Oryza sativa Japonica Group: one gene and its partners. The protein of the gene in region 1 interacts with the protein of each later gene in a pairwise test. Links are inferred from orthologs where the notes say so. Each region holds a gene or a part of one and is shown on either strand. Other genes may lie near its edges.

Evidence for each region.
Region 2: the proteins of nuclear pore complex-interacting protein family member B13 (region 1) and nuclear transcription factor Y subunit B-3 interact in binary tests that used the Arabidopsis thaliana proteins (3 or more experiments, as listed by UniProt). The link is inferred for Oryza sativa Japonica Group from reciprocal best matches to the Arabidopsis thaliana genes NF-YC10 and NF-YB6.
Region 3: the proteins of nuclear pore complex-interacting protein family member B13 (region 1) and nuclear transcription factor Y subunit B-10 interact in binary tests that used the Arabidopsis thaliana proteins (3 or more experiments, as listed by UniProt). The link is inferred for Oryza sativa Japonica Group from reciprocal best matches to the Arabidopsis thaliana genes NF-YC10 and NF-YB3.

Annotation. Positions count from the first base shown.
Region 1 is NC_089037.1:36,866,134-36,872,400, forward strand, and holds the start of nuclear pore complex-interacting protein family member B13, read left to right. Parts: upstream 1-2,732; 5' UTR 2,733-2,842; coding exon 2,843-3,550; intron 3,551-4,182; coding exon 4,183-4,267; intron 4,268-6,016; coding exon 6,017-6,058; intron 6,059-6,179; coding exon 6,180-6,256; 3' UTR 6,257-6,267. Other genes in the region: derlin-2, read right to left, coding at 305-404, 524-622.
Region 2 is NC_089036.1:30,654,328-30,659,481, reverse strand, and holds nuclear transcription factor Y subunit B-3, read left to right. Parts: upstream 1-2,281; 5' UTR 2,282-2,377; coding exon 2,378-3,142; 3' UTR 3,143-3,456; downstream 3,457-5,154. UniProt on the Arabidopsis thaliana protein: Component of the NF-Y/HAP transcription factor complex. The NF-Y complex stimulates the transcription of various genes by recognizing and binding to a CCAAT motif in promoters. Plays a role in the regulation of the embryogenesis.
Region 3 is NC_089041.1:25,144,246-25,149,293, reverse strand, and holds nuclear transcription factor Y subunit B-10, read left to right. Parts: upstream 1-2,358; 5' UTR 2,359-2,433; coding exon 2,434-3,108; 3' UTR 3,109-3,350; downstream 3,351-5,048. UniProt on the Arabidopsis thaliana protein: Component of the NF-Y/HAP transcription factor complex. The NF-Y complex stimulates the transcription of various genes by recognizing and binding to a CCAAT motif in promoters.

The DNA.
Region 1 (6,267 bases):
CACTCTTGGCACTAGCGCTTTATACCTTACTGTACATTCTCTAAGTAGCACGTAGGCGCATAAGCCTTCATCAATGAGTCATGGGCAGAACAATACTTCCGTTCTAACTTCACATCCCTATGCTTCACACCTCTGAAATGATACCCTCAGAATACAATAATAGAATTATCATTGAGAACTCTTATTACTACTATGCAAACGTGGTGAAATTACGATTGGGATCCGCACAAATAGTAAATATAAGTAGATACTGTTTGTAAACTGACAATCTTGCAAGTGTAAGAGAAAGGTAAGAGGCGCATACCCATCTTACGGAAGTAGAGGAAGTTGGTGACGAGGCGCCAGATCTCGTAGTGCTGCACCACCAGCTTGGGGTTCAGATACAGGTGGTAGGGCGAAATGATCTGCGAGGCAAGGAGGGCATTAGGCCATCAGCGCAGGCACTCAAACAAGCACCAGATCGAGGAGAGAGTAGAATCATGTAAAGAGGGGCGGGCGGAGAGAGAGAGAGAGAGAGAGAGACCTCGAGGGTGCAGCCGACGGTGGTGACGACGGCGGCGGTGAGGTAGGAGCGCGTGATGATGGGCATCTGCCGGTACCACTCCTCCACCGCCTGCGCCATCTCCCGCGAAACCCTAGCGGGCGAGCTCTCCTCTCTCGAGTCTCGAGTAAACCCTAATTGACCCGAATCGAATCGCCGATGAGATGTTGGCAGCGGAAGGGGGAAGGGGATGGATGGAGATGGAGATGGGTCGCAAACTCGCAACGGAAAGCTGCGTGCATTGGTGTCTCCGGTGGCTGCGTGCCTTCCTGCCTGCCTGCGTGTCACTGACATGTGGGGGCCACGAGTCGGTCGCATTGACGTGGTGTGTTCCAGTAGGATAGCGACACGTCAGCGCACACGTTGCAACGCGCCATGTTTCGTTGACAATTCAAATCTGACCTGGTATGTACTCCTATGTTGTTGTAGTATGTTGTTGGTCAAGCCAGGGATTACAAGTGGTCATATAGAAAAAAATAAAACGTGGATGTTAATTATATGTGGTTGTTCCTTCTCTATAATAGATACTCCCTCCGTTTCATAATATAAATCATTCTAGTATTGCCCATATTCATATAGATGTTAATGATATATATATATATGTCTGGATTCAATAACATCTACTTCCTCCGTTTCATATTATACTAGTAAGACTTTTTAGCATATGTCTAGATTTATTGACATATATATATATGTGCCTAGATTCATTAACATCTATATGAATATGGACAATGCTAGAAAGTCTTATAATATGAAACGGAGGGAGTATATGAATATGGGCAATGTTAAAATGACTTACATTATGAAACGGAGGAATCATATTGTATTGTTTTGGTGTAAGTATGCAATTGGTTATACGGAGTATATGGAAAAACTAAAGTAACACTTACAATCTACTCCTGTATTTTCTTACTAGCTTAACAACTTAACTACTCCCTACATTTTTTATTTATATGACATTGTTTAGGCCCTATTTATTTCAGCTTAGAATTATTATAATCTGAATTATTAGCAATAATCTGAAACAATCATGTAGATCATTATAATAATCTATAAGCTAGATTAGTATAATATGATAATCTCCTCTAAACGTGCTTCTTTCAAATTAGTAGGTGGCTAAAGACCCACTAATCTTAAAATTTGTATGCAAATTACCCACCACTTCCATCGAACCCAATAGATTGAGTACATCCGCTTCCTCTCTCCACAGTGCAGGCGAATCCGGCGCCTCCCCCAGCCGCGCATGCATCCGCTTCCTCTCTCCCTAGTCGCGCGCGAACCCTTCCCCAAGCCGTATCGTCATCGCCGCCATTTCATCCTTCTCCCACTCCACAATAGCTTAGGGTATTAGAGACATCAGCCTTTCGAAACCAATAATATATGTCTCTAATAATCCAAAGAAACAAACAGCTAATAACTTATTTTATTATAACTTATTATAATCCAGCTTAATAATCTGGATTGCAATAATGTTTAGTTATTAAAAAAAAGGGTAGTACGCACTGGAAAAATTTGAGACTCAAGTGAAGTTGTTGAAAGAAGATCGAACGTTAGAAAAAGAATTATGTCGTGATACAGTGATTTGTTCTTTAATGAGAAAAGGTTAGAATCTTTAATACCTGCAATGCACGTTCTTATCTTTATCGTGGAGACGTAAATAATTACTACTACAATACATTTTAATTGAAACAGAATAAAACAAGCTCGATGATACAAATCAATAAAATAGTAACCTAATGATATGACATGCGATTTTATTGACAAATTTATTATCACCACTCGTAAGAGTGGTAAATAGTTAATTATTCCAATGAGAGTTGGGTTCTTCTTTGTATGGCAGGGAGAAAGAAAAAAGATAAATGAGTAATTTTACACTCAAGACATGACTAATGGGTTAGGGAAATAATTTCCTAGCTAAAAATACTTATATTTTTAAGACGGAGATAGTACCTCATTTCATCTCAGTTTTTCATTCATTTACATTTCTCAATCAGGCTTCTCATGATCCATTATCCACACATACTGCGGTGACGTGGCTTCCGTAGATTTAAAAAATGACACACGAGCAATAACCCCAATATTTGGGAAAAGCCTTCTCTTCAATGATAAAAAGATGGAAATGATCCAGGAGGATGACATTTGCAAATACGTGAACCGGATGAGTCAAAAACCCAACAGAGACTGGAATCAGTTGAGTTTCAGCATCAGCGCCCCCAAACCAAATAATTTTGAACTCTCCGGACTCCGGCCGCCGCCTTCCAGAGGAACCTCGCGGCTGCCGGTGCCGGTGCCGGAGAAGACATGGCCGGGAAGAAGAAGGCCCTAACAAATCCCGCCTCTCCCTCCGCCTCCGCCTCCGCTTCCACCCCTAAGAAATCCACCGCCACCTCCAAGGACCGCTCCACGCCGAAACCCCGCAAAAACCCCAACCCCAAGGAGGAGGCACCACCGCCGCCGCCCGCCAACAACAAGCGCCTCAACCCCCAAGGGGGATCCAACCGTAAGAAGAAGGCCGATGCGGGGACGCCCTCCAAGAAGCCGAAGCGCCAGCCGCCGGAGCCCAAACCTCGGAAGCACAAGGGGGCCAAGAGCGAGAAGCCGCACCGGGTTTCCGGCGAAGGGGAGAAGCCCACGCCCACGAAGAAGAAGAAGAAGAAGGAGAGCAGCAAGGAGCCCAAGCGCGAGAAGCAGCAAGCGTCCGCGCCTATGTCGACTCCCTCGAAGAAGAACAAGGAAGCCAAACGCGACACAGGAGGAGCGGGGAAGCCCACGCCCACCAAGAGGAAGCTCGGCGACGTGGATCCCCCACAGGAGCGACCGTCCGGTGAAGGCCAGGCAAGCTCTCCCACGCCCGCCAAGAAGCGGAAGGACAAGGCGGCGGCGGCGGAGGCGGTTGCCGACCACGGCGCCGGCAGCTTCCCGATGGCTCGGGTGCGGCAGATAATGCGGGCCGAGGACGCCACCATCCGCCCCTCCAATGAGGCTGTCTTCCTCATCAACAAGGCCACCGTATGGTTCTTTCCTTCCTTCCCACATTCTTTCACTTAACTCGCATTTGGTTAATGAAACTTAGTTTATGCAATGATTTGTGATGGCAATTAGCAATCGAGGATTGGAGCTTCTCCATCCTAATGTGATGATTTGGGTTGGACTGGAATCTAGTTAACCTAATGAGATTTAGGTCGGCGTTGCTGTGATCGCCCACAAGGTGTTTGATGAATTGTCTGATATGATCACAGATCACGAATGGTGTTTTCTACCTCCAAATGGTAGATGTTACAGGTTGTCTCAGAAGTCCAAAGCTTGATTTCTCTGCTTCTGCTGCCATCAAACTTTTGGCAGGAGGGTTTATGCACGATTGTTTTATGTTTGTATTTGTTGGTAACTCGCTAAAATGTTGCTGTTCTCTGATGCATTAGGCATATGTTACTGGTTTATGGCATACTGGCAATGAGAATATTATAGAGGGCATATTAAGATAGAATCTGAAGAATATATTTTCATGATTTACCTAGTTATTCTGTCAGATTACTGTGATATTCATTACGGACCAGTGTTTCATTATTTTTTCCATTCCTCGTCCAAAGCTGATTTGGTTAATGTTATATCGCTCACTTGAACCTGTAAATCTGTAACTGCAGGAGATATTCTTGAAGAGGTTTGCAGACGATGCTTATCGAAATGCTTTGAAGGATCGGAAGAAGTCAATTGTGTATGATAACCTTTGTAAGTTGCACATTCATTCCCATTCACTTCAAAACTTTCTTTGTTGCTATGTTGAAAATGCACTTTGTATAGAAAAGCTAAGGGATCTGCATTTATTAAGATTGGAAAAAAATGTTTGAAACATTCAAACAGTACATAGAAAAATGAGAAATCTCAGATAGGTGAAAGAGGGTTTCCCTATTCTACTAATGTACCAGCACGTCATCATCAAGTTTCAAAACAACACAATTTGTGGAAACTGTATGCTGTCTCATTAGAATTTTTTTTAGTGAAATATAAACTACACATGTCCTGAGGTTGTTACTTTTAGTGTTCATATTTTCATTTTCAATCTCTCAAGAGATGAAGAACCTTCCAAGATTGCAATGATAGTCTGGTAGTTATCCCATCTATAGGTAGATGATATTTCCATTTCTGCAGACAGGTTTGTCAAGCCAGGAGAGAAAGAGCAGTTAGTATATAGCTATAGTAGGACCATTGTGTGTAAGAGGGCAACTGCATTTAGTTGCGATTCAGCTTATCAATGCCCCAATATCACTGGCTGGATAGATTCCATTGACAAGAGCCAAAAGATAAATACTCTCTCAAAGATTGGGTACAGATGTTGAGTCCTACAAGTTGCAACATCAAATGGTTACATACATAGGATATTTTGTTATGGTCTTGTCAATATTCTTGCCTGTCCCCCCTTTTTCTTGATAAAATGTGTCCAACTATCAATCTAATGATCATAACTTTACTCATAGCACACACATTTCTGTGATGTTGGCATATATATATATATATATATATATATATATATATATATATATATATATATATATATATATATATATATATATATATATATATATATATATATATATATATATATATATATATATATATATATATATATATATATATATATATATATATATATATATATATATAAAACTAATGCATTTGTGCAGTGATGAAACATTTTTATTTCTATACAAGCCAGTGTAACATGTACTGATATTTTTTAGACTGTCCAACAAAGATAGTTGAAGTCCACTCATGTTCTGAAACTGGACAGAGGGGAATCAATCCCATCGAGAGGCTCTCTTCCTCCTTTTTTCTGAATCTGTGAGAGAGGCAAATGAGAAGTTCAGAGAGACCTCAACTCTTCTGCATTTCTCTGTCAGTAGTGATAATAACTTATTAAGTTGATCAAATTAGGGATTTCACTTTCAGTACAGATGTTGCATTACTTGCATCTCAAATATCATTTTTTGAGCCATATTTTTTGACATTGGCCTTTGATATATGCCCCAGCTTCTTTTTTTTTTCTCTCAATGATGCAGACTTTCAGAGGTCATAGGATAAATTCTTTATAACCAGTGACCTACAAAATAACCTCAGGAATTCATATACTTAAACGTCTATGCTTTGCCTACTTGCACCTTTTTTTTTTTTTTGGGGGGGGGGTGTGCAAATGTTCCAACTTCCTGACAGAGTTATCGTGTAAAATTGACTCAGGAAAAACAATCATAAAACATGTTTCTTATGATCTGTGATGGCAAGATCAGCATCCAACATGTGAATAGCTTTAACATCTTTCATCTCAACTCATAGACATACACTTTTTGTGGATGGGCTCATCTCTGAATTGCAATTAAAGTTCATTGATCCTGTCTTCCGTGAGGTTGAAGATATAGTTAATGTTCTATTTCTTTTGTCCTTTTATTTTTCTTTATCTCACAGCACATCTGCCTTCCTTTTCAGCAACAGCAGTGTGCAACCAGAAAAGATACAAGTTTCTCTCAGGTCAATATTTGTCTTTTTTACAAACCCATGGAAGCCTATTTTAATCAGCAAAGGCTCTTCATATGCCTTAGCCTTTTAGCAATATCATTATTTACAAATCGTTTCTGTGGTCTTTGCTCAGATTTTGTTCCACAGAAAGTTACAGCTGAAGATGCTTTGAAGGCTCCAGTTAGCAGCCAAGTGAACCAACCACAATAAGTTGCTAGTGC
Region 2 (5,154 bases), on another chromosome or scaffold:
TGCCACGTCAGCATATGGGACAATTTAGAACCGGTTTAGACCTATATGCTACCCAAGACAAGTTCAAGGACTTAAAAATGTATTTTGGAAGTTTAGATGACACAAATGCACAAGTTTAGCGACCGCCTATATAATTCACTCTTTATTTTTCTAGATATGCGGAGGACATAAATACATACAAACATCAGTGGAGGCGTGGAGCCAACATGTTAGGCTATTGTCACATGGCATCAATGAATCTTGATTTAACCTACGTAGACATTATGTTCTTCAATGAATTACATTAGTATATGATTTGCCTTTTGACGCCACCATGTTCCGGCAGAGTTAGCCCATCCATTTGCTTAGCCCATAAATTGATTTAACCATATAAGTTAGCCCATGTGACCATGTTAAAATTATCTACTAAATCCGTTCTAAAATAAGTGTACTCTTGTAATTCAAATTTGAACTAGAAAGTGTACTAGGAGTAGGGGATTAGACAGGGTCGTCCCGAAGGGAGTGCCACAAGTGCGACTGGGCCCCCATTCTCCGGGGTAGAAGGAATTTGTTGAAGTCGCATAGGCCGAACGCAGCACGTCTATTCATTTTCGCTGCGTGCGTTGATTCCCTCCCAAACACGATATTAATCCAAGTAAGTCTTGACCTCGGTGACTCTGAATTATGGATCCGCCCTGTTAAAGTATTGTACAAGAGTACATTAATTTACAAATGATAGTACTCCATCCGTTTCAGGTTATAAGATGTTTTAACTTTTATTAAAGTTAAACTGCTCAAGTTTAATAAAGTTTATAGAAAAATATAGTAATGTTTACACTATCAAATTAGTTTTATTAAATTAATAATTAAATATATTTTCATAATAAATTTATTTTGGTTTAAAAATATTACTATTTTTTTCTATAAACTTGATCAAACTTAAAGTAGTTTGACTTTGACCAAAATCAAAGAAATTTTTTGGTTTTTGTCATCAGAAATTATGGAACAAGTATGTTTGAGTTTTGGATCGTAGACGTGCTCCATTCATGCAGGCACAACGAAAAAAAAATACTAACACGCACGCATGGCTACCAACGCATTGCTACCGCACCAAAGAGGCTCTTGTATATAAGTTAGAGTAATTACACAATAATTATACTCCATTTATCGAAAAGTCTTAAGCATATTTTATTTTCGGGGTTTTCAAATGAGATGATCATATTTGTACCTCCATATATGTAAGACTTAAATAAAGAGATTGTATTTCTCGTTTTGCCATATTAGAATAAATCATTAACCGGAACCCGAGCAACCATCTTAATATTCGTTAGTTACAAGCACACGTATAATTTTTTTTTGTCTCTGTTATAGATGAGTTAGTTTTTTTTTCTTGATTTTGTTAACAAAATAAACACGTTTTAGTTTTTTTTATGGAGGGATTTGGATTAAACTTGCTCTAAACCAAATCACCCAATCTTTCGTTCCATCCGTTTCTTCGCATGTGACAGCTCATCCACACCGATGGAGCAGTGACGAATTTTTTTATTTTTAATTTTATTTATTAAAATATTTACAGAAATAATTTTTAATTTGAAAATTTTACAAAACTAGTCGCCCATCGCCCTTGCCCTTCCAGAAGACGTTTTTTCCGAAGTAGTAGATGGCCGTTGGCTCTACCATAACGGCGGGCCATCGAGGACGCTCAAATTTTACAGGCGGCCCCCTTGCCACCCTCCCAGAGGGCGATTTTTGGCTCTAGGGGGCCACCTACAAAAGGGTTGGGAGGGCTACCTAGAATTTTTGCAGGCATCTCCCTTGCCGCCGCCTAAGAGGGCTATTTTCTACTATAGGGGAGAGGGTGGTATTTTTGCAGGCGGCCCCCTTTAGCCCTCTGGGAGGACGATTTTCTACAGTGCAGGGGGGCCTTTCGTAGGCGGCCCCCTGTAAAGTAAAAAATCGCCCTCCCAAAAGGCTACGAGGGGGCCGTCTGTAAATTTCTCCTCCCTCGATGCCGATTATTATGGGAGGGCCAACGGCTGTCTGCCACATTAGCAAAATCGCCCTCCTAGAGGACGATGGACGACTAATAGTTTTGTAATTTTTTTAAATAGAAAATTATTTTTAAATATTTTAATAAATAAAATTAAAAAATTCGAGCAGTGACCACAGCGAAGCCGGCGCCACTTGTCACGAACAGGCGCCGTGCCACCTCGGCGCATGCCTCTCTACGGCTAGCTACTCCCATTTGTGGTCAACACCTCGTAGCGTCCCTATTTAACGTATCCACACGCATCACAAGATCGACCACCACCAAGCGAGCCCAGCAACAGTTTCACACTTTAGCTGCTAGCTAGTGCTACCACCCACAGGAGGCAACCCTAGCTTTCCCACGCAGCCAATGGAGGCCGGCTACCCGGGCACGGCGGCGAACGGCGCTGCCGCCGACGGGAACGGTGGCGCGCAGCAGGCGGCGGCCGCGCCGGCTATACGTGAGCAGGACCGGCTGATGCCGATCGCGAACGTGATCCGCATCATGCGCCGCGTGCTCCCGGCGCACGCCAAGATCTCGGACGACGCCAAGGAGACGATCCAGGAGTGCGTGTCGGAGTACATCAGCTTCATCACCGGGGAGGCCAACGAGCGGTGCCAGCGCGAGCAGCGCAAGACCATCACCGCCGAGGACGTGCTCTGGGCCATGAGCCGCCTCGGCTTCGACGACTACGTCGAGCCCCTCGGCGTCTACCTCCACCGCTACCGCGAGTTCGAGGGGGAGTCCCGCGGCGTCGGCGTCGGCGTCGGCGCCGCGCGCGGCGACCACCACCATGGTCACGTCGGTGGGATGCTCAAGTCCCGCGCGCAGGGCTCCATGGTGACGCACCACGACATGCAGATGCACGCCGCCATGTACGGTGGCGGCGCGGTGCCGCCGCCGCCGCATCCTCCTCCGCACCACCACGCGTTCCACCAGCTCATGCCGCCGCACCACGGCCAGTACGCGCCGCCGTACGACATGTACGGCGGCGAGCACGGGATGGCGGCGTACTACGGCGGGATGTACGCGCCCGGCAGCGGCGGCGACGGGAGCGGCAGCAGCGGCAGCGGTGGCGCCGGCACGCCGCAGACCGTCAACTTCGAGCACCAGCATCCGTTCGGATACAAGTAGTAACAGCAGCAGAATGGCGATCGGTCTGCACCTGCATGCACACGTATCGCATGCAGATCGAGCTAGTAGTGCAACTGGCTAACTTGAACCAGTTAAAAACTTAAGACTTAGTGATCGTGTGTGGTTTAATTAATTTGCTACGTTCAGGTAGTGATCGATGAGATTTTAATTTCCTACTGTCAGTTTAATTCACCGTTCATGTACTCGATCCAGCTAGTACTACTCCTAGTTACCCTTGTTCTAATCTTAACGCAATTGTGTCGATCGGACGATCGCACGTTTATCTTCAAGTGGAATTTGTCTTATAACACTAATTAAGCGCCTGGAAGCTTATGTACACTTACTCAATTGTGTATTGATCCCTCAAGAGTTGTCAATTACTATTACAAGGTTCATATAAAAGCAAACTCATACAGTGAGTAAGTAGCCAAAGTAACAAAACTAAAAGTAAAAGCAAACTAATAAAAACCAAACAATATAAAGACTAACCATTACTGAATTCTATTGGTGAATCTCCACCAAAAGTTGGTAGAATGCTGCATAATCGTTGACTCAAGTTTACGACACATATCTTTTATTAGCTTGATATGATCACCGTACCTTTATAGTTGAGCCTATTTCTGAAGTCAGTATGTCTCTAAAAAGAACCTACAAATAAGATTTTGACTGCTCAAAATAAAGTTACCAAAACAAAGTTACACTTGCGCACTCGCACTGCATACCAACCCAACGGAGAGAGAGGGAGAGAGATCTAGAGAGAGAGGGAGAGAGATACGGCGCCATATACGGGTGGAGTACTACTGGAGTGTCGCGTGATTTGCCTTCCCCGGCCGGACGGACGCACGCGTGTCCGGTCAAGGACTCACGGTCGCTCGCCTGATCGACGTTGCGTCGCGCCCTCGTCGTACGTACTACGTTCCGAGCCCATCACCGGGCACCGGCGACACGCACGCACGGCGCGTACGTACATACGGATCGTGAATACTAACATATCTACCCAACCCGAATAGATTGCTACGTATCCAACCCGAGTGTTCAGTCTGCATACATACGATACGGGCATGTACAGACACAGCTGTTGCTCGTCGGGTCCGTATTATGATACTCTAAGAAACTTAAGCACAGTAATTGGAGGACGCGATAGAGTCATATGCGAATCATATTATCTAGTCATATGTATAGCAGGATTCTCAGATCGTATAATTGGGCACGCGCGCGCGCTGCCACACCAGCGGATGTTAATTTGGATGGCGCGTCACACGAACTAGCTTGCTTGCGGAGGGTACGTCGTCTCGCTGCCGGCACACGGACGTATACGCGTCGCGGAGGGTTGCCCGGTTCTTCCGCCGCGGCCCGCGGGCGTACGTTAATATATGCTGCTTTCAGCCGCGTGGATCAGTATCAGGGGCTTCGTTTCGTTTACCCCCTGCATCGGTGGCCAGTGCATGCCCGTCTCGGCTGCCCGCTTTGGGAACCGCAGGCCGCAGCATCGCCTAGTTTTGTGAGCTCTCTCCAGCATCGATCGCAGCTAGTAGCTCCTTCCCCATGTATGCATGCATTGCCTACGGGGGCCCTGTCGATCGATCGATCGATCCATCGATGCATCCTCCTCTGTATGTCTCTCTCCCCTACTGTACGCACGACCGGGTGAGGTCAGGTCAGATTTTTTTTTATTAGAGCAGGTACAATAGTATGCTATAAGCCAACTGTAATATAATATATTTTAAAGAGATAAAAAAAGAGAGAGAATAGCAGCGAGCTACATATATGTAGCTAGCTGTAGTATGGACTCCAATACATAATATGTGTATGACAGATGAGTTATTAATAGTATAATAAACAATTATTGCATGAATGGGCTATTCCCAACTCAAAACACTAGACATAGTTTTCATAAACTCCACATCATCAAGAAACTAGTATTATACACTACTATTTCAATGCAAACACCACTATTCCATACTTGACTTTAATGCTACTTATCTCACATGATATCTTGGATGATGTGTAGA
Region 3 (5,048 bases), on another chromosome or scaffold:
AAACACCGTCAGAGATCTTGAACTCGAAGATTAAGAGCAAAGATGGCGACAATTAACGAATAGAACAGTGTCAGTTTCACATCCCAATCAGCTCCTATATGTATCGATCAAGGACAGGCCATTGTTAAGTGTAACCCCTATACACAAGGCAGGCATCTCTTAATCCCTTTTCTTCTCATTAACTAGGTAGATCATGGGCATCAGCATCACTGCAATAATGTCACCTTTTGCTTCATGACATATTCAGTTAATGTAAAGCCACAAATTTCAGCAATTTATGCATCCATGTTTTTCATATGCAAAGAAAACAAAAAACTCTATTGAGGATCTGGCACCTTCCTTATCTAAGAAAACAACCAGACAGAGTTCAAGTCTGATGAAGTCCATTATCTAAAAAATTCTGATGAAGTTGCACAATGTTGTAGGTATAAATGCCATGTCATGTAGGTCTAGTGGAGCAAGCACCTTAAAAGAGGAGTTTAAAAAAGATCAGAGAGTATATATTACTTAATTTTTTTCTACAACTAGATAAGAAAAATTTTCTCAAAAAAATAAAACTAGATACTACTTAAAAAAAAAAGGCATTACAAAAGAGAGGGCACTTGGGAACTTGACTCGATGCCACTTGTCAGTAGTACTTATGCGAGCCAAGGCCTTCACCAGCGGTATGAGCCGGCTGCTAGCTCATACGCGCTCGGCACAGTGCCGGCCACTGCCTGGGCGAGCATGCCTGTGAGAGGGCACCGCCTTGGTGAGCGTGCGAGTTAGCGCTTGAAGAAGAGCTAGCGCATCCTGTTCATCGCTTAAAAACCTCTATGAGCTAGCTAAGAGCTGCCCATTGGAGACAGCCTAATTGACCTTGTGCTTTGGCAACGTGATTTCTGCTTTCGCATCACTCGAGAAGGCTTCTTTTCAGAGTGGTTGGTAGTTAGTGGCGAAAGGCCAAGGTTATTATTTTTGGATCTAAGGTTTGCTTAATTAGTGGCCTAAGACGACCCGGCTGACGTGTGAAGGGCTCGGATGGAGACATGCTGAATTCGCCAATATCTGAAGATAGTGAACCTTGTTGGCTGATTGCGCTGTCCATGTGCTTAACTTAGTGTCACCCATCACAATTTTTTACTCCTATCTAGACCCAGTGATGTTATATCTACCGATGTGGCTGTTTACGGATCAGGATGCTCTGCAGTCGACTGCACCGCATGTCAATAATAAAAGCGCGGTGCAGTCGACTGCAGAGGATCTTAATCCATTGCTTTTAACATATATATTTTAAAAAATTATCGATGATCAGATTTAATATAAGAATTCCATACTTCTATTAAATATATAAGTGATGACTAAACATGGTTTTTTTGGGACATAATGTATTTATTCAACATCTGAAATTGTCTAGGAGGGACTTAGGTCACGTTATTATTGGACGTATCATGTATAATTGTTTGTAGAGATGAATCAAATATTATATGCCAGAGACCTAAAGTAACTTCAAGAAATCTAAAACAATGATGACGCGGAAAGCTTGTGAAGAAATCGTAGTTTGAGAATGGTAGTTATCTAAAAGTTGATAAACTTAGAAGAACCGGAGAAAAAGAATGAAATCGTCCAAAAGTCTTTTGAATTTTCATCTATAATTAAATTAAGAAAACAATATGGAACGTTTACCATTTTTTGATTAGGAGTAAATAGCAAATGTACACTATTATTGCCTTAGCAAAATGTTCATTGAAAACTATAATACATTATCCCCTTCGTCCCATTTTAAGTGTGGTTATGGATTTCTATATTTAACGTTTGACTGTTTATTTTATTTGAAATTTCTTTATGATTAGTATTTTTATACATGATTTTTTAATTTTTTTAAAATAAAACGATGGTTAAATGTTGAACACGGTAGGAGTACTAACTAACATAAGGTCATCTCATATAAGATTTTTTTTCTGACAAGAAAAAAAAAGAAACAAATGCCATGGAGAATAATCACATTAAACCAATATAAATTCCCTTCCTTAATTTTGATTGAGATGTGACTGGAAAGGTGTGTCAGTGCAGGCACCAAAACACGACAACCATCTCCTTCCTCACACCAAAACAAAACCGGGCCAAGACGGCTCCATGACCTTAATTTACCTATATAAACCCAGGCCACGTCAGCACCCCCGCCCCACCACGTAGGCCATCCAACGTGGCTAACGGACGGCCGCGACGTCGCCAGCGTGGCACGGATCGCCCGCGCCGCCCCCCCCCCCCCCCCCCCCCCCGGCCCACACCGCTTATCGACAAAAACAAACGGCCTCGCTTCTGCCACGTCGCTCTCCCCGATGCGTTCTTATCCCCACGATTCATCCCACTGCATCCCCCGCGCCCTCCTCTCCTCTTCGTCTTCCTCCTCGCTTCGCTTCGACTGCTTCGATCGAGGAGATCGAGGTTGCGATGCCGGATTCGGACAACGAGTCAGGGGGGCCGAGCAACGCGGGGGAGTACGCGTCGGCGAGGGAGCAGGACAGGTTCCTGCCGATCGCGAACGTGAGCAGGATCATGAAGAGGGCGCTCCCGGCGAACGCCAAGATCAGCAAGGACGCCAAGGAGACGGTGCAGGAGTGCGTCTCGGAGTTCATCTCCTTCATCACCGGCGAGGCCTCCGACAAGTGCCAGCGGGAGAAGCGCAAGACCATCAACGGCGACGACCTCCTCTGGGCGATGACCACGCTCGGCTTCGAGGACTACATCGACCCGCTCAAGCTCTACCTCCACAAGTTCCGCGAGCTCGAGGGCGAGAAGGCCATCGGCGCCGCCGGCAGCGGCGGCGGTGGCGCCGCCTCCTCCGGCGGCTCCGGCTCCGGCTCCGGCTCGCACCACCACCAGGATGCTTCCCGGAACAATGGCGGATACGGCATGTACGGCGGCGGCGGCGGCATGATCATGATGATGGGACAGCCTATGTACGGCTCGCCGCCGGCGTCGTCAGCTGGGTACGCGCAGCCGCCGCCGCCCCACCACCACCACCACCAGATGGTGATGGGAGGGAAAGGTGCGTATGGCCATGGCGGCGGCGGCGGCGGCGGGCCCTCCCCGTCGTCGGGATACGGCCGGCAAGACAGGCTATGAGCTTGCTTTCTTGGTTGGTGTTTTGGTAATTAATTAATCAGAGGACATGTCGGGTTAATTAATCTTAATCTCTGTTTTTTCACTCTTTTTTTTTACCTTTCTTTCTCTCTCTTTTATCTTTCCTTTTCTCAATGTGCTAAAATGAGTCAATTATATGGCTAAATTCTCTACTAATTCGCTTCCATTGACTTCTTCTTAAATTCTCCTAATAATGATCCCATGGTTCATTTGTTTGGGCTGCTAAGATGATTAAACAAGCTTAATTAGTTAATTTGGGTGACTTTTCTTGATGGTGCAGTTTATTTTGGCATGGTACTGATGAGTAGGTATCCATGATGTTCTGTGGTGACCAAACAGACGATGGATGCTTTTTTTTTCTCCATCATTATTTCTCCCAATTTTGTTTTTTTGCTTGGTTATAATTGATATTAGTAGAATGCTTGATTGGTGCTATATATATGCTGTTTTGGATTCCTCTGGAATTCAGAGTGTCGGCTGTGTGATCTCAGGTGTCGGCACAGATAACCTTTGGAAAATGAATAAATAAATTTTACTACCTAGTACTATCTTCTACTGCTAATATACAGTATTAGTGACTAGTGAGAGCATAAAATAAAATATCCAGAGAGGCTAGAGGCTACCTGCATGCACATCCTTAATGCGCAAGCAATGACATGACATCCAAATTGCTGATCTGTGATCAGTCACCACCTGACCCTCTACATATACTTTATGCAGTGCTAACATAAAAGTTTAATGCTGCTTAATTAAGCACTTATATATATAATTCTCAAGCTAGGTGTCACCATGCAGTATGTTTTCTTTGCTTTTCTTGTTGCTGTATATCCTCCCTGTCATAGCATGGCATGAATCAGCTTATCAGCAAGTAAGTATAGAGTAGTAAGTAGTTAGTTGCACTTAGCTTTCATCAGTCACAGACAAGTAGGCAGCAGGAAAGGGCCAGGCAAAAAGGCAGGGAGGATAAGGATGGATGAAGCCTGAATTGAGTGAGCACTAGTGTGTGTGATATGTGTACTGTGGAAGTTTCTTCCACTGGGCTTTTGGGGGCAGGGTCAAGTGAGGCTGGATTCCATTGGCCAGGGAAAGATCTCCCCGGTCTAATTGGATGACAGGTACAGTACCTGTATGTAATAGTGCTTGCTTGCTTGTACTGGCAGCATCTGGGGCTTGTTTTGAGTCAGATCTGAGCAAGGGCTTCTACCTATGGACGAAAACGGTCGGAAACAATATTATTTTTTTTCGAGAAGTCCGAAACGGTCAAGAAATATATGTATTTATGAATTTTACTATTTAGTGTTGATTTCAACGCAACATTGATAGAAGTTAGAAAAACTAAATTTTAGAAACTGTAATAGTCGATAAAAATATTATTATTGTATTATTTACAGGAAAGGTATCGGTACGGTCGGGAAATTTTCATAATGTTTTCACCCCTACCTTTACCTGACTGCCACCACCTACCTATATCTTGATGTTGCTCTTGCAAGAGCAATTTTCGCTTGCCCACCTTTTTTTTGAATCTGGACATGTGCATATTTGTAATTATAATTAAAATTCTTTGTATTTAGAGGTAGAAGAAGTACAAAGCAAAGGAAAAATCCGAGACTTTCTACAACTACAAGCAAGCATGCTTGAGTTGATCCAGGGAGAAAATTAAGAGAAGTGATATACATATATACTTGAACAATTTCTTGCAAACAAAGATCTTGACAGTTCGATTTAGTTAGTTGAAAGTGTAATAAAGAAAATCAGGATTTTACTTACAGTGTGTGATACATCAACATCTAAAACATTTGCAAATTTTCTTTGTACACGTATATCTTTTCCCCCGAAAATTAAGGGGGTTGCGGTTTACCATAAGAAAAATAAATGGACAGGTCAACCACTATATATATGAACAGTACACGGCAGACCATTTT